3 linked regions of the Anolis sagrei genome follow. The protein of the gene in region 2 purifies or fractionates together with the protein of the main gene of each other region. This does not show direct contact. Links are inferred from orthologs where the notes say so. Each region holds a gene or a part of one and is shown on either strand. Other genes may lie near its edges. The genes, in order: EIF3A, EIF4B and USP11.

Region 1 (3,751 bases), on a different chromosome or scaffold from region 2:
AACAAAACAGCACTACGTTATAGTGACTCAGTATAGCCTGCTTCATCCAAATGTGTTCAAACATATTGAGCATGAAGCTTTTTATACTCCTGGCAGCCCTAGCACACAGAACTGGTTTTGCCAGCAATTTTCTTTATTAAACGAAGTTTAAAAGTGTGTGTTTATTTCCTCCCGATGAGTTGTGCTACTGGAATTGTCAGTTCACCACATAAAAGACTCAAAACAGGGGAAAGGGGGCAACAAAAGATACCATCTCTGAACTTAATGGATATCATGAAATAATGCTACATTTATTATAGTAACTTTGATAAAGATGACCTGTGACTAATTCTACTACTCTGTACAAGTTTTGCACATCTGAGTCCAATGGCTGACTTTCAGTGGAAACCAAGGACAGTTCCTGATTCATTATTTGTTTTATGTGCTTAGGAGTGCATATGCTATAAACGTTAAAATGCGTATAAACGCAATTTACTTGTGCTTAAGAACAGCCAACCCCACACTTTTCAGTCTTTAAATGCCTTGTCTGAATTCAAATATTTTAAAATGGAAAAGGAATTAAGCAATATTTCTGTCCTTGGTATCTTCCATACCACAACTGCACAAGTTGTTATATACAATATTCAAAAAGGAAGGACACTTCTACAATGATTCATTTCAACAAAAAATTAAGCGAGGAGATATAAATGTTTTGTAAGGTGACCAGAATCTCAGTATGTGGAAAGTAAAGGTAAAAGGTAAAGGTTTCCCCTTGACATTAAGTCTAGTCATGTCCAACTCTGGAGGCTGGTAATTGTCTCCATTTTTAAGTCAAAGAACCGGCATTGTCCATAGACGCCTCCAAAGTCATGTGTCTGTCATGACTGCATGGAGCACCGTTGTCTTCCTGCCGAAGCAGTACCTACGGATCTACTCACATCTGCATGTTTTCAAATGGCTAGGTCAGCAGAAGTTGGGGCTTACAGTGGGAGCTCATCCTGCTCCCCAGATTCAAACCACCAACCTTCCATTCAGCAAGTTCAGCAGCTCAGCGGTTTAACCCACTGCACCACCAGCGGCTCAAAACATACAACAAAGGTTTTTGCTTTGTCATGAAGTCCATGAGGAGCAAAAAGGGCATTTTTGCTTCACTGTGTAAATTACTGTCAATGTAACAACACACAAAGGGTGCAAGAAAAGAAGGTTTTATTATCTCCATTGTTAGAGCAAATTACAAATTGAGCATCATCTTATCCACAATTCCGAAATGCTCCAAATACTGAAACTGTCCATATGGGTGGGCTGAGAAAGTGACACATTTGTTTTCTGGTGGCTGAATGTATACAAAAGTATTTCACATACAGTGTATAAAATGACCCTCCAGTTATATGTGTCAAGTCCATATGAGGCAAATGAATTTTGTATGTAGACTTGAGTCCCAACACCAGATTATTTGATGTCTTGTGTAAAAAATTACCTTTAAGATATATGTATAAAGTGCATATGGAATATAAATGTATTTTGTATTTAGACTTGATTCCCATTGTCAGATTATGTCATATATTGTGTATAAAATTACCTTCAGGCTATATGGATAAAGTGCTTGTGAAACATAAAGGAATTTTGTATTTAGACTCGGGTCCCAACACCAGATTATTTGACATCTTGTGTATATAATTACCTTTAAGACATCTGTATAAAGCGCATACATAACATAAATGCATTTTGTATTTTGACTTGATTTCCATCACTAGATTATTTCATATATTGTTTATAAAATTACTTTCAAGACATATGTATAAAGTGCATTTGAAACAAATGCATTTTTTATTTAAACTTGGGTCCCATCGCCAGATTATGTCACATATTGTGTATAAAATTACCTTCAGGCTGAATGTATAAAGTGCATGTGAAACATAAATGAATTTTGTATTTAGACTTGGGTTCCATCTCATTATGTATATGCAAATATTCCATAATCGGGGGGGGGGGGGGTGTCGAAATGTGGTACACTTCTAATCCCAAGTATTTCGGGAAAGGGACACTCAACGTGTATTCCTCTCACTGGCAGTCCTCCCCTCCACAGCCTTCCCGAAGGCATCAGTCGGGGAAAGCAGGGAAGAAACACGAGGGCAAGCAACCCTGAAAGGCCGGCGGACATGCGAGGAACTGGCCAGGGCAACGAGGGAGAGCGCTTCCTCCCTCCTTCCACACGCGCCTAGGCCTCGGCCTCCATTACGGGCCTCACGAAGCCTAGCCAGGCGGGGCACGGGGCAGGAAAGGAGATGGCGGCGCCCTCCGCCAGACCCGAAGCGGCCTAGGAGCCTCGCACTCACCGTTCGCCCGCTTCAGGGCGTTCTCGGGCCGCTGGAAGTAGACCGGCATGATGGCGGCCTGTGCTTCTCCTCCTCCTCACGCGGCAAGAAGCCTCAAGGAGCGCACCGCCAAGCAGCAAGCGAGGCCGGAAAGAGACGGCGTCACGTGACCCCGCCGCGCGCACGGACGTGTCCGGAAGCGAACGCGGCTCCCTGCGCGAGAGAAGGGGGGGGGGGGGAGAGAGAGAGAGAGAGAGAGAGAGAGAGAGAGAGAGAGAGAAAGATGAAGGCAAGTTAGAAGTACGCATGCGTCGGAAAGAACTCTGCGAAGTGGAGCAATAGAGGGTTGCCCTTTTCTCTTGAAATGAGCACTGATGTCGCTTTGGCCCCATCAGTCGTGGGTTCGAGGCCAGCTCTCGTCTTGTTTGTAGTCAGTCTTGTTTAATCGGATGCAGGCCCTATTTTGGTGTAGGATCTGATGAAATATAATACAATGTAATACTAATGTGATAATGTAATGCAATATAATGTTGTTGTTCATTCGTTCAGTCGTCTCCGACTCTTCGTGACCTCATGGACCAGCCCACGCCAGAGCTCCCTGTCGACCATTACCACCCCCAGCTCCCTCAAGGTCAGTCCAGTCACTTCAAGGATGCCATCCATCCATCTTGCCCTTGGTCGGCCCCTCTTCCTTTTGCCTTCCACTTTCCCCAGCATCATTGTCTTCTCTAGGCTTTCCTGTCTCCTCATGATGTGGCCAAAGTACTCAGACGGGATCAAAGTACTGAGACGGGATCCCAGCTGAACTGTTTAAAATCTTAAAAGATGATGCTGTCAAGGTGATGCATGCCATTTGCCAGCAAATATGGAAAACACAAGAATGGCCATCAGACTGGAAAAAATCAACTTATATCCCCATACCAAAAAAGGGAAATGCGAAAGACTGCTCCAACTTCCGTACAGTGGCCCTTATTTCTCATGCCAGTAAGGTAATGCTCAAGATCCTGCAAGGAAGACTCCAGCAATACATGGAGCGAGAGTTGCCAGATGTTCAAGCTGGGTTTAGAAAAGGCAGAGGAACGAGAGACCAGATTGCCAATATCCGCTGGATAATGGAGAAAGGCAGGGAGTTTCAGAAAAACATCTACTTCTGCTTCATTGACTATTCTAAAGCCTTTGACTGTGTGGATCATAATAAATTGTGGCAAGTTCTTGGTGGGATGGGCATACCAAGCCACCTTGTCTCTCTCCTGAGGAATCTGTACAAGGACCAAGTAGCAACAGTAAGAACTGACCACGGAACAACAGACTGGTTCAAGATTGGGAAAGGCGTACGGCAAGGCTGCATACTCTCACCCAACCTTTTAAACTTGTATGCAGAACACATCATGCGATGTGCGGGGCTGGATGAATGCAAAGCTGGGGTGAAAATTGCTGGAAGAAACATTAACAACCTC
Region 2 (3,751 bases):
CCCATTGCCAGATAATCTGGAATAAACAGAAAAACTGGAATCAGATCCTGGGATATTGAGCCTATCTGGAAGGGCCCTCAAACTGCGGCTCTCCAGCTGTTTGGACCTCCACTTCCCAGATGCCCTTGTCAGCTTATTCAATTGTCAGGAATTCTTGAGAGCTGGAAGCCCAAAGAGCTTGAGGGCTGCAGTTTGTGGATGCATGCTGCTGATGCACCCTAAGGCCCCTTCCACATAGCTGTCTAATTTCTGACATTATCTGCTTTGAACTGAATTATATGGCAGTGAGGACTTAGAAAACCCAGTTCAAAACAGATATTATGGGATTTTCTGCTTTGATATTCTGGGTTTTATGGCTGTGTGGAAGGGTCCTAAGAAAAAAGATGGGATGAACCTAAGACACCTATTAAGACTCACAACAAAAACCTAGATCTCCCTCTCTCCCTGTAATATAGGTAAAGGTTTTCCATGAAGTCCAGTCGTGTCCGACTCTGGGAGGTGGTGCTATTCTCTATTTCTAAGCCAAAGAGCCGGCATTGTCCGGAGACACCTCCAAGGTCATGTGGCCGGCATGACTGCATGGAGAGCCGTTACCTTCCCGCCGGAGCGGTACCTACTGATCTACTCACATTTGCATGTTTTCAAACTGCTAGGTTGACAGAAACTGGGGCTGAAAGCGGAAGCTCATGCCACTCCCCGGATTCGAACCTGCAACCTTTTAGTCAACAAGCTCAGCAGCTCAGCGGTTTAACCCACTGCGCCACAGGGGTCTCCAACCTATTTCCTGTAACATATTTCCTCGCATTATATAGAAGATGCCAAACCTCACCACTCTTTCCCATCCTAATCAAAGAAGCCTGTCTTGGGGCACTTCTCTCTGGGCCTTTCCACACAGCCCTATATCCCAAAATATCAAGGCAGAAAATCCCACATTATCCGAGTGTGGACTCAGATAACCCAGTTCAAAGCACATACTGTGGTATTTTCTGCCTTGATATTCCGGGTTATGTGGCTAAGTGGAAGGGTCTTAAGTCAACCAACAGTATTTTGGTGAACTCCCCTTTAGTGACCTATGTATCACTATGTTTAGTGACCCATAGGTCTAGTGACATATGTATAAATATGTGAGAGGAAGCCACAGGGAGGAGGGAGCAAGCTTGTTTTCTGCTTCCTTGGAGACTAGGACGAGAAACAATGGCTTCAAACTACAAGAGAGGAGATTCCATCTGAACATGAGGAAGAACTTCCTGACTGTGAGTGCCGTTCAGCAGTGGAACTCTCTGCCCCGGAGTGTGGTGGAGGCTCCTTCTTTGGAAGCTTTTAAACAGAGGCTGGATGGCCATCTGTCAGGGGTGATTTGAATGCAATATTCCTGCTTCTTGGCAGAATGGGGTTGGACTGGATGGCCCATGAGGTCTCTTCCAACTCTTTGATTCTATGATTCTATGAATAAAAATGGCTTGGCTATTAATATGTGTAAATACATTTATAGCTTTATATTGACTTTCTCCATTACAACAAGAAGCCACTTCCACTACAATCTGAGCGTCAGGAATGTGCATAAGGGAGAAGTTTCCACTGATTATTATTTTTTAAATGAGGGAAGTAACCTTGTAAGAACCCTTTCACACAGCCCTACACATCAAGGAAGGAAATCCCACAATATCTGCTTTGAACTGGGTTATCTTAGTTCATACTCAGATATTGTGGGATTTTCTGCCTTGATATTCTGGACTGTGTGGAAGGGTCCCTTGCAAGAGTACTTTGCACTGACACCTGAGCAAACTTGGTTTCAACTGGAAGATTCAGGCCTGTAATTCTATGACCTCACAGTCTAGGCGAGAGATGACCCAAACATCAAATGGGGAAAGGGAAGAGAAAAGGTGGTGGGGGGAAAAAAATAAAGCACCAGGAGGGACGTGGACCCACCTCACGCCCGTCTGGGAGGCGGGGCGTAGGCTCCCACGCGACGTGTCCCACCCACGCCCCGCCCCTAACGCCAGACTGTGGGGAGTCAGCAAAGAGCTGGGCCCACGTGGGTGCCGCCCAGGTCCTTCCCTTCCCCCTCCCCACCTCGCCCGCGCCCTGCCGCGCGCCCTCGCGCTTGCGCACTGGCGCGCGGCCGAAGGTTCCATCAGCCCGCTCCCCTGCCGCCCCTCCCCCACTCCCTCATCCCAGTCCAAGGCCCTCGCCTCGCGCGCTGTCTCTCTCTCTCTCTCTCTCTCTCTGGGAGCGCGCGCCGCAGCGAGGGCAGCCAAGGCCGCGCCGGTGCGATTGGAGCCACACCAGTGGACCCAGGCTCCAAGGTGGCCGCCGAAGCGAAGCCGCCTGCCCTCCCTTGAGGCGCCCCGTTTCCCTCCCAGCGTCGTAAAAGGGTCAGACCGGCCGCTCGAGCCGCAGGCCCATGCGCCACCGAGACACCACTCACCTGAGGCCGCCATGTTGGGAAGAGGGAGAGAAGGCAAAAGGCCCGGATGCAGCTGTCACGTGACTATAGCGAAAGAGGCACCTCCTCTTCTCCTCCTCCTCAGGGGGGCGGATGCGTCAATAACAAAAAAAAAGGGCGCGGGGTGGGAGGGGAAGCAAACTGGGCGGGTTGGTTGCTTGATTCTGCGGTTTGCAGACGGCAAGGAGGGGATAGAACGTAAGCGGGCGGGCAGAGAAGCGGCAGAGGAACTGGAGGGAGGGTTTCGAAAGGCGAATCCAGACAGAAGGAGTTGGGAGGAGAAAGAGGCGTCGTGCTAAGGCCCAGTCTCCCTGTGAAACGTCATGGGTGACCTTGAGCCTTTTAGGCTCCTTCCACGCAGCTTAATAAAACCCCACATGTTCTGCTTTGAACTGGAATATATGGCTGTGTGGACTCAGATAACCCTTTGGTCACCTCTAGATGTGCCAGCAGGACTGAAGACCGACAGGTCGCAGGTTCGAATCCGGGGAGAGGCGGATGAGGTCCCTCTATCAGCTCCAGCTCCTCATACGGGGACATGAGAGAAGCCTCCCACAAGGATGATAACAACATTATTATTATTATTATTATTATTACTTTATTTGTACCCCGCTAGCATCTCCCAAGGGACTCGATGCGGCTTACAACAGGCCGAAGCCACAGAACAACAATACAGCATAACAATACAAAGCAAATTAAAACAGTTAAGCAAGTAAACAAAACAGTAACAATACATCAGACAATTACTAAAACTGGGCCGGCCAGAGTAGTGGGTACAGGATTAAAAGTGCTGAAAGCTCAAATCATCCGGGCGTCCCCTGGGCAACGTCCTTGCAGACGGCCAATTCTCTCACACCAGAAGCAACTTGCAGTTTCTCAAGTCGCTCCTGACCAGGCCTGTAGCGAGGGGGTGGTTTTAGGGGTTCAACCCCCCCCCCCCCGAAATGTTTCAGATTTTTTAAAAGACCTGGTTTACTCATGAATTTTAACTGGTTAACCAAATCCCCATGCTAAGTCTATGAGATGCAAAAAATTAAGAGTCTCTCCAGAACTGTAAGCACTATCTCAAGCAAATATTGGCAATTTATTTACACTGTCATTACTTGCAGCAATAGCCGATGTATTGTAGCAACCAAGTTGTGTGTGTGTGTGTTGAATGCTCTCATTAAGGAGGCCAGACTTGGTGGAAGTGGTTGACATGAGTTGAACTGCAGGCTATTGAAGGTTGCTCTGCCTCCTGCTGTGCTCTTTGATTCAGCGTGAGCTAGGAGGCAGGTTTCAACCCTCCCCCGAAATTTTCAACCC
Region 3 (3,751 bases), about 9.6 Mb from region 2:
CTGCAGATTGAGGATGCCTGGAGTAGTCCAAAACTCAAACAACAGGCCCTTCCTGACAGGCCCTATATCCCAGAATCTGACCCCAGGTTTTCTGCTTTAAACTGCATTATATGAGTCCCCACTGTCAGATAATCTGGGATAAACAGAAAACCTGGGATCAGATGCTGGGATATAGGTCCTGTCTGGGAGGGCCCATGATCTCAATGGCTCCCTATCCAAAAATAAACCCCCTCAAGTTCAACAGCTAAGCAAGAATGGCGAAGGCAGGAAGTAGACAGTTATATTGAACTCAGGAATAAAACACAGGGCCCTTCCATGCAGCCCTATATCCCAGAATATCAAGGCAGAAAATCCCACAATATCTGGTTTGAACTGGAATATAGGGCAGTGTGGACACAGGGCCCTTCCACACAGCACTATATCCCAGAATAAGGTAAAGGTAGTCCCCTGACATTAAGTCCAGTCATGTCTGACTCTGGGGTGTGGTGCTCATCCCCATTTCTAAGCCGAAGAGCCAGTGTTTTCCGTAGACACCTCCAAGGTCATGTGGCCGGCATGACTGCATGGAGCACCGTTACCTTCCCACCGGAGCGGTACCTATTGATCTACTCACATTTGCATGTTTTCGAACTGCTAGGTCGGCAGAAATATCCCAGAATATCAAGGCAGAAAACTCCACAGTATCTTATTTGAACTGGAATATAGGGCAGTGTGAACTCAGGGCCCTTCCACACAGCCCTATATCCCAGAATATCAAGGGAGAAAATCCCACAATGTCTGCTTTGAACTGGGTTATCTGAGTCCATACTAAGATACTGTGGGATTTTCTGCCTTGATATTCTGGGATCTAGGCCTGTGTGGCAGGGCCCTCACCGACTCCAACTGGGAGGACCTCTAGATCAGTGGTTCTCAACCTATGGGTCCCCAAGTGTTTTGGCCTACAACTCCCAGAAATCCCAGCAAGTTTACAAACTGTTAGGATTTCTAGGAGTTGAAGGCCAAAACATCTTGGGACCCACAGGTTGAGAACTACTGCTCTAGACAGATGAGTGAATGCAGCTTGACCCCACTCTCATGGCCATGGCTCTATGCTGTGGAATCAGGGCAATGATTCTGGGATTATTTTAATGGGTTATTTTATATTTTAACAATGGTTGTAAACCGCCTTGTGTCCTTGGAGAAAGGCAATACAGCAGTGTTTCTCAACCTGGGGGTCGGGACCCCCAGAGGGATCATGAGGGGGTGTCAGAGGGGTTGCCAAAGACCATCAGAAAACATTATTTTCTGTTCATCATGGGGGTTCTGTGTGGGATGTTTGGTCCTATTGTATTATTGGTGGGGTTCTGAATGCTCTTTGATTGTAGGTGAACTATAAATCCCAGCAACTACAACTCCCAAATGTCAAGGCCTATTTTCCCCAAACCCCACCACTGTTTGCATTTGGGCATATGTGTGCCAAGTTTGGTTCAATTCCATCAGAATGCTCTTTGATTGTAGGTGAACTATAAATCCCAGCAACTACAACTCCCATATGACAAAATTACCTCCCCTCTCCTAATCCCACAAGTATTCAAATTTGGGTGTATCAAGTATTTGTGCCAAATTTGGTCCACTGAATGAAAATACATCCCGCATATTAGATATTTACATTATTTTTCATAACAGTAGCAACAGTAGCAGTCATGAAATGTTATGGTTGAGGGTCACCACAACATGAGGAACTGTATTAAGGGGTCATGGCATTAGGAAGTTTGAGAAACACTGCAATACAGAAATATCCCATCATTACATTATGTGGTGAGGTTTTCTGTCTCCTTTGCAGAGAAAGCGAGAGATCTTGTGAAATTACAACTCCAGAGAGTCCAAGGCATTGAGCTAAGGCAGTGAAAGTGGGCTCAAACTGCATTAGGTAGAGTGGAGACTAGGCAAGGGCAAGCATTGGCCCTGCAGGTGTTTTGGACTACAACTCCCACAATTCCTAACAGCCTCAGGCCCTTTCCTTTTCCCTCTCAGCCGCTTAAGCGGCTGAGAGGGAAAAGGAAGGGGCCTGAGGCTGTTAGGAATTGTGGGAGTTATAGTCCAAAACACCTGCAGGGCCAAAGCTTGCCCATGCCTTGTTGCTTGCTGCCCAGATGCATTCCCAGTGTTTCCTCTTTCCAAAGGAGGAGGCAATTGTCCTGAATGCCCAGGGTCATTGTTCCAGCGCTCGGATGTTGCCTTCCACTGCCATGGCCCTGCTGGGAGGCGCAGTCTGCTCAGAGGACACTCCGGGAAAGGCCTTGCTCCCTTCCTCAGCCTCGCTCCCCGCTTACCACTTCTCCCCGGCTCGGAGGGGCCGCTCCAGGCCCGGCTGGGTGGGGCCTTCCCCCTCGACCTGCCGCCTCTGGGCCTCCAGACCCGGCAGCCCCCGCTCGGCCGCCATCGCCCACCATCCAGCCCGGAAGCCAGCAACTGAGGGCGCCTTCTTTCCCAAGCCGCGACTCCCGGCTCCTCGGGGCCCCGCCCACCGGCTTCCGCCCGGCCGTGATAGGTGTGGCAACTCCGGGCGGAAGAGGCCGACGCCGCCATGTTGGGTAGGGCTATCCCCGCCCACGGGCGCCATCTTGGTTGGCCAATGAAACTAAACCTAAATCAAGAGGTTATCTTAAACATTCTTAAACCCTGAAAAGAAAATTTAAAAAAGCTGGGAACTGGTTGAAATAGGAATTACAAAACGATGTCACCCTGTATTTTGGGTAACTTCTGTTCCCTCAGCTTTGGCACCTGGCAGGGAAGATACTTCAGGTCTTTTTCCGCCATCTTTAATAAGGGCGCATCGCTAGACAGGCTTGTTGAAGTTAATTATCAGGCCTTTATCTGCCATCTTTAGTAAGGGCACATAGCCAGACAGGCTTGATGAAGTAAACCATCTACAACAGCAAAACAACAGAGGGGAAACAAACAGGCACATAAAATCACTCTCAACAAGAGATTTCCCCCAGGCGCTTCCAGGCCATTGAATGCAAATCAAGGTGATCAGCTGAAACATTCACAGCTAGCCCCAGCAGACAGGGGTCCTTTGTCTCACCCTGGTCATTCCACAGATATATAAACCCATGTTTCCTACTTCCAACAGACCTCACTACCTCTGAGGATGCTTGCCATAGATGCAGGCGAAACGTCAGGAGAAAAATTGCCTCCAGAACATGGCCATATAGCCCGGAAAAACCTACAACAACCCATCTAAGGAAGGCTTTCGGGACTTTATCCGCCATCTTTAGGAAGGGCGCTTAACCAGACAGGCTTGGTGAAGTGAATTATCTAAGGTAGTGGTTTTCAACCTGTGGGGAACACCTGGGGACCTACAGGTTGACAACCATTGATCTAAGGGAGGCTTTGGGCCTTTATCCTCCATCTTTAGTAAGGGCGCATAAGCCAGACATGCTTAGTGAAGTTAATTATCTAAGGAAAGCTCCAGGCCTTCATTCACCATCTTTAGTAAGGGCACACAGCCAGACAGGCTTGGTGAAGTAAGTTATCTAAGGGAGGCTTCAGCCCTTCATCTGCCATCTTTAGTAAGGGCACATAGCCATACTGGCTTGTTGAAGTCAATTATCTAAAGAACCTGAGCCCTGCTACATTCGCAATGGAGGACGTTCTTATAGTAACACCAGAGGCACTCCAAGTGGCCAGCTACTAGTCAAAGGACATTTAATCAACTACCATGCTTGCAAACTTAATAATAATAATAATAATAATAATAATAATAATA

The links.
Region 1: the proteins of EIF4B (region 2) and EIF3A purify together in Homo sapiens (co-immunoprecipitation; 3 studies listed by BioGRID and IntAct, with this or other methods). This does not show direct contact. The link is inferred for Anolis sagrei from reciprocal best matches to the Homo sapiens genes EIF4B and EIF3A.
Region 3: the proteins of EIF4B (region 2) and USP11 purify together in Homo sapiens (affinity purification with western blotting; 3 studies listed by BioGRID, with this or other methods). This does not show direct contact. The link is inferred for Anolis sagrei from reciprocal best matches to the Homo sapiens genes EIF4B and USP11.

Annotation. Positions count from the first base shown.
Region 1 is NC_090023.1:202,542,310-202,546,060, reverse strand, and holds the start of EIF3A (eukaryotic translation initiation factor 3 subunit A), read right to left. Parts: upstream 2,472-3,751; 5' UTR 2,365-2,471; coding exon 2,316-2,364; intron 1-2,315. UniProt on the Homo sapiens protein: RNA-binding component of the eukaryotic translation initiation factor 3 (eIF-3) complex, which is required for several steps in the initiation of protein synthesis.
Region 2 is NC_090022.1:183,596,673-183,600,423, reverse strand, and holds the start of EIF4B (eukaryotic translation initiation factor 4B), read right to left. Parts: upstream 2,514-3,751; 5' UTR 2,442-2,513; coding exon 2,429-2,441; intron 1-2,428. UniProt on the Homo sapiens protein: Required for the binding of mRNA to ribosomes. Functions in close association with EIF4-F and EIF4-A. Binds near the 5'-terminal cap of mRNA in presence of EIF-4F and ATP.
Region 3 is NC_090022.1:193,156,470-193,160,220, forward strand, and holds the start of USP11 (ubiquitin carboxyl-terminal hydrolase 11), read right to left. Parts: upstream 2,504-3,751; 5' UTR 2,423-2,503; coding exon 2,313-2,422; intron 1-2,312.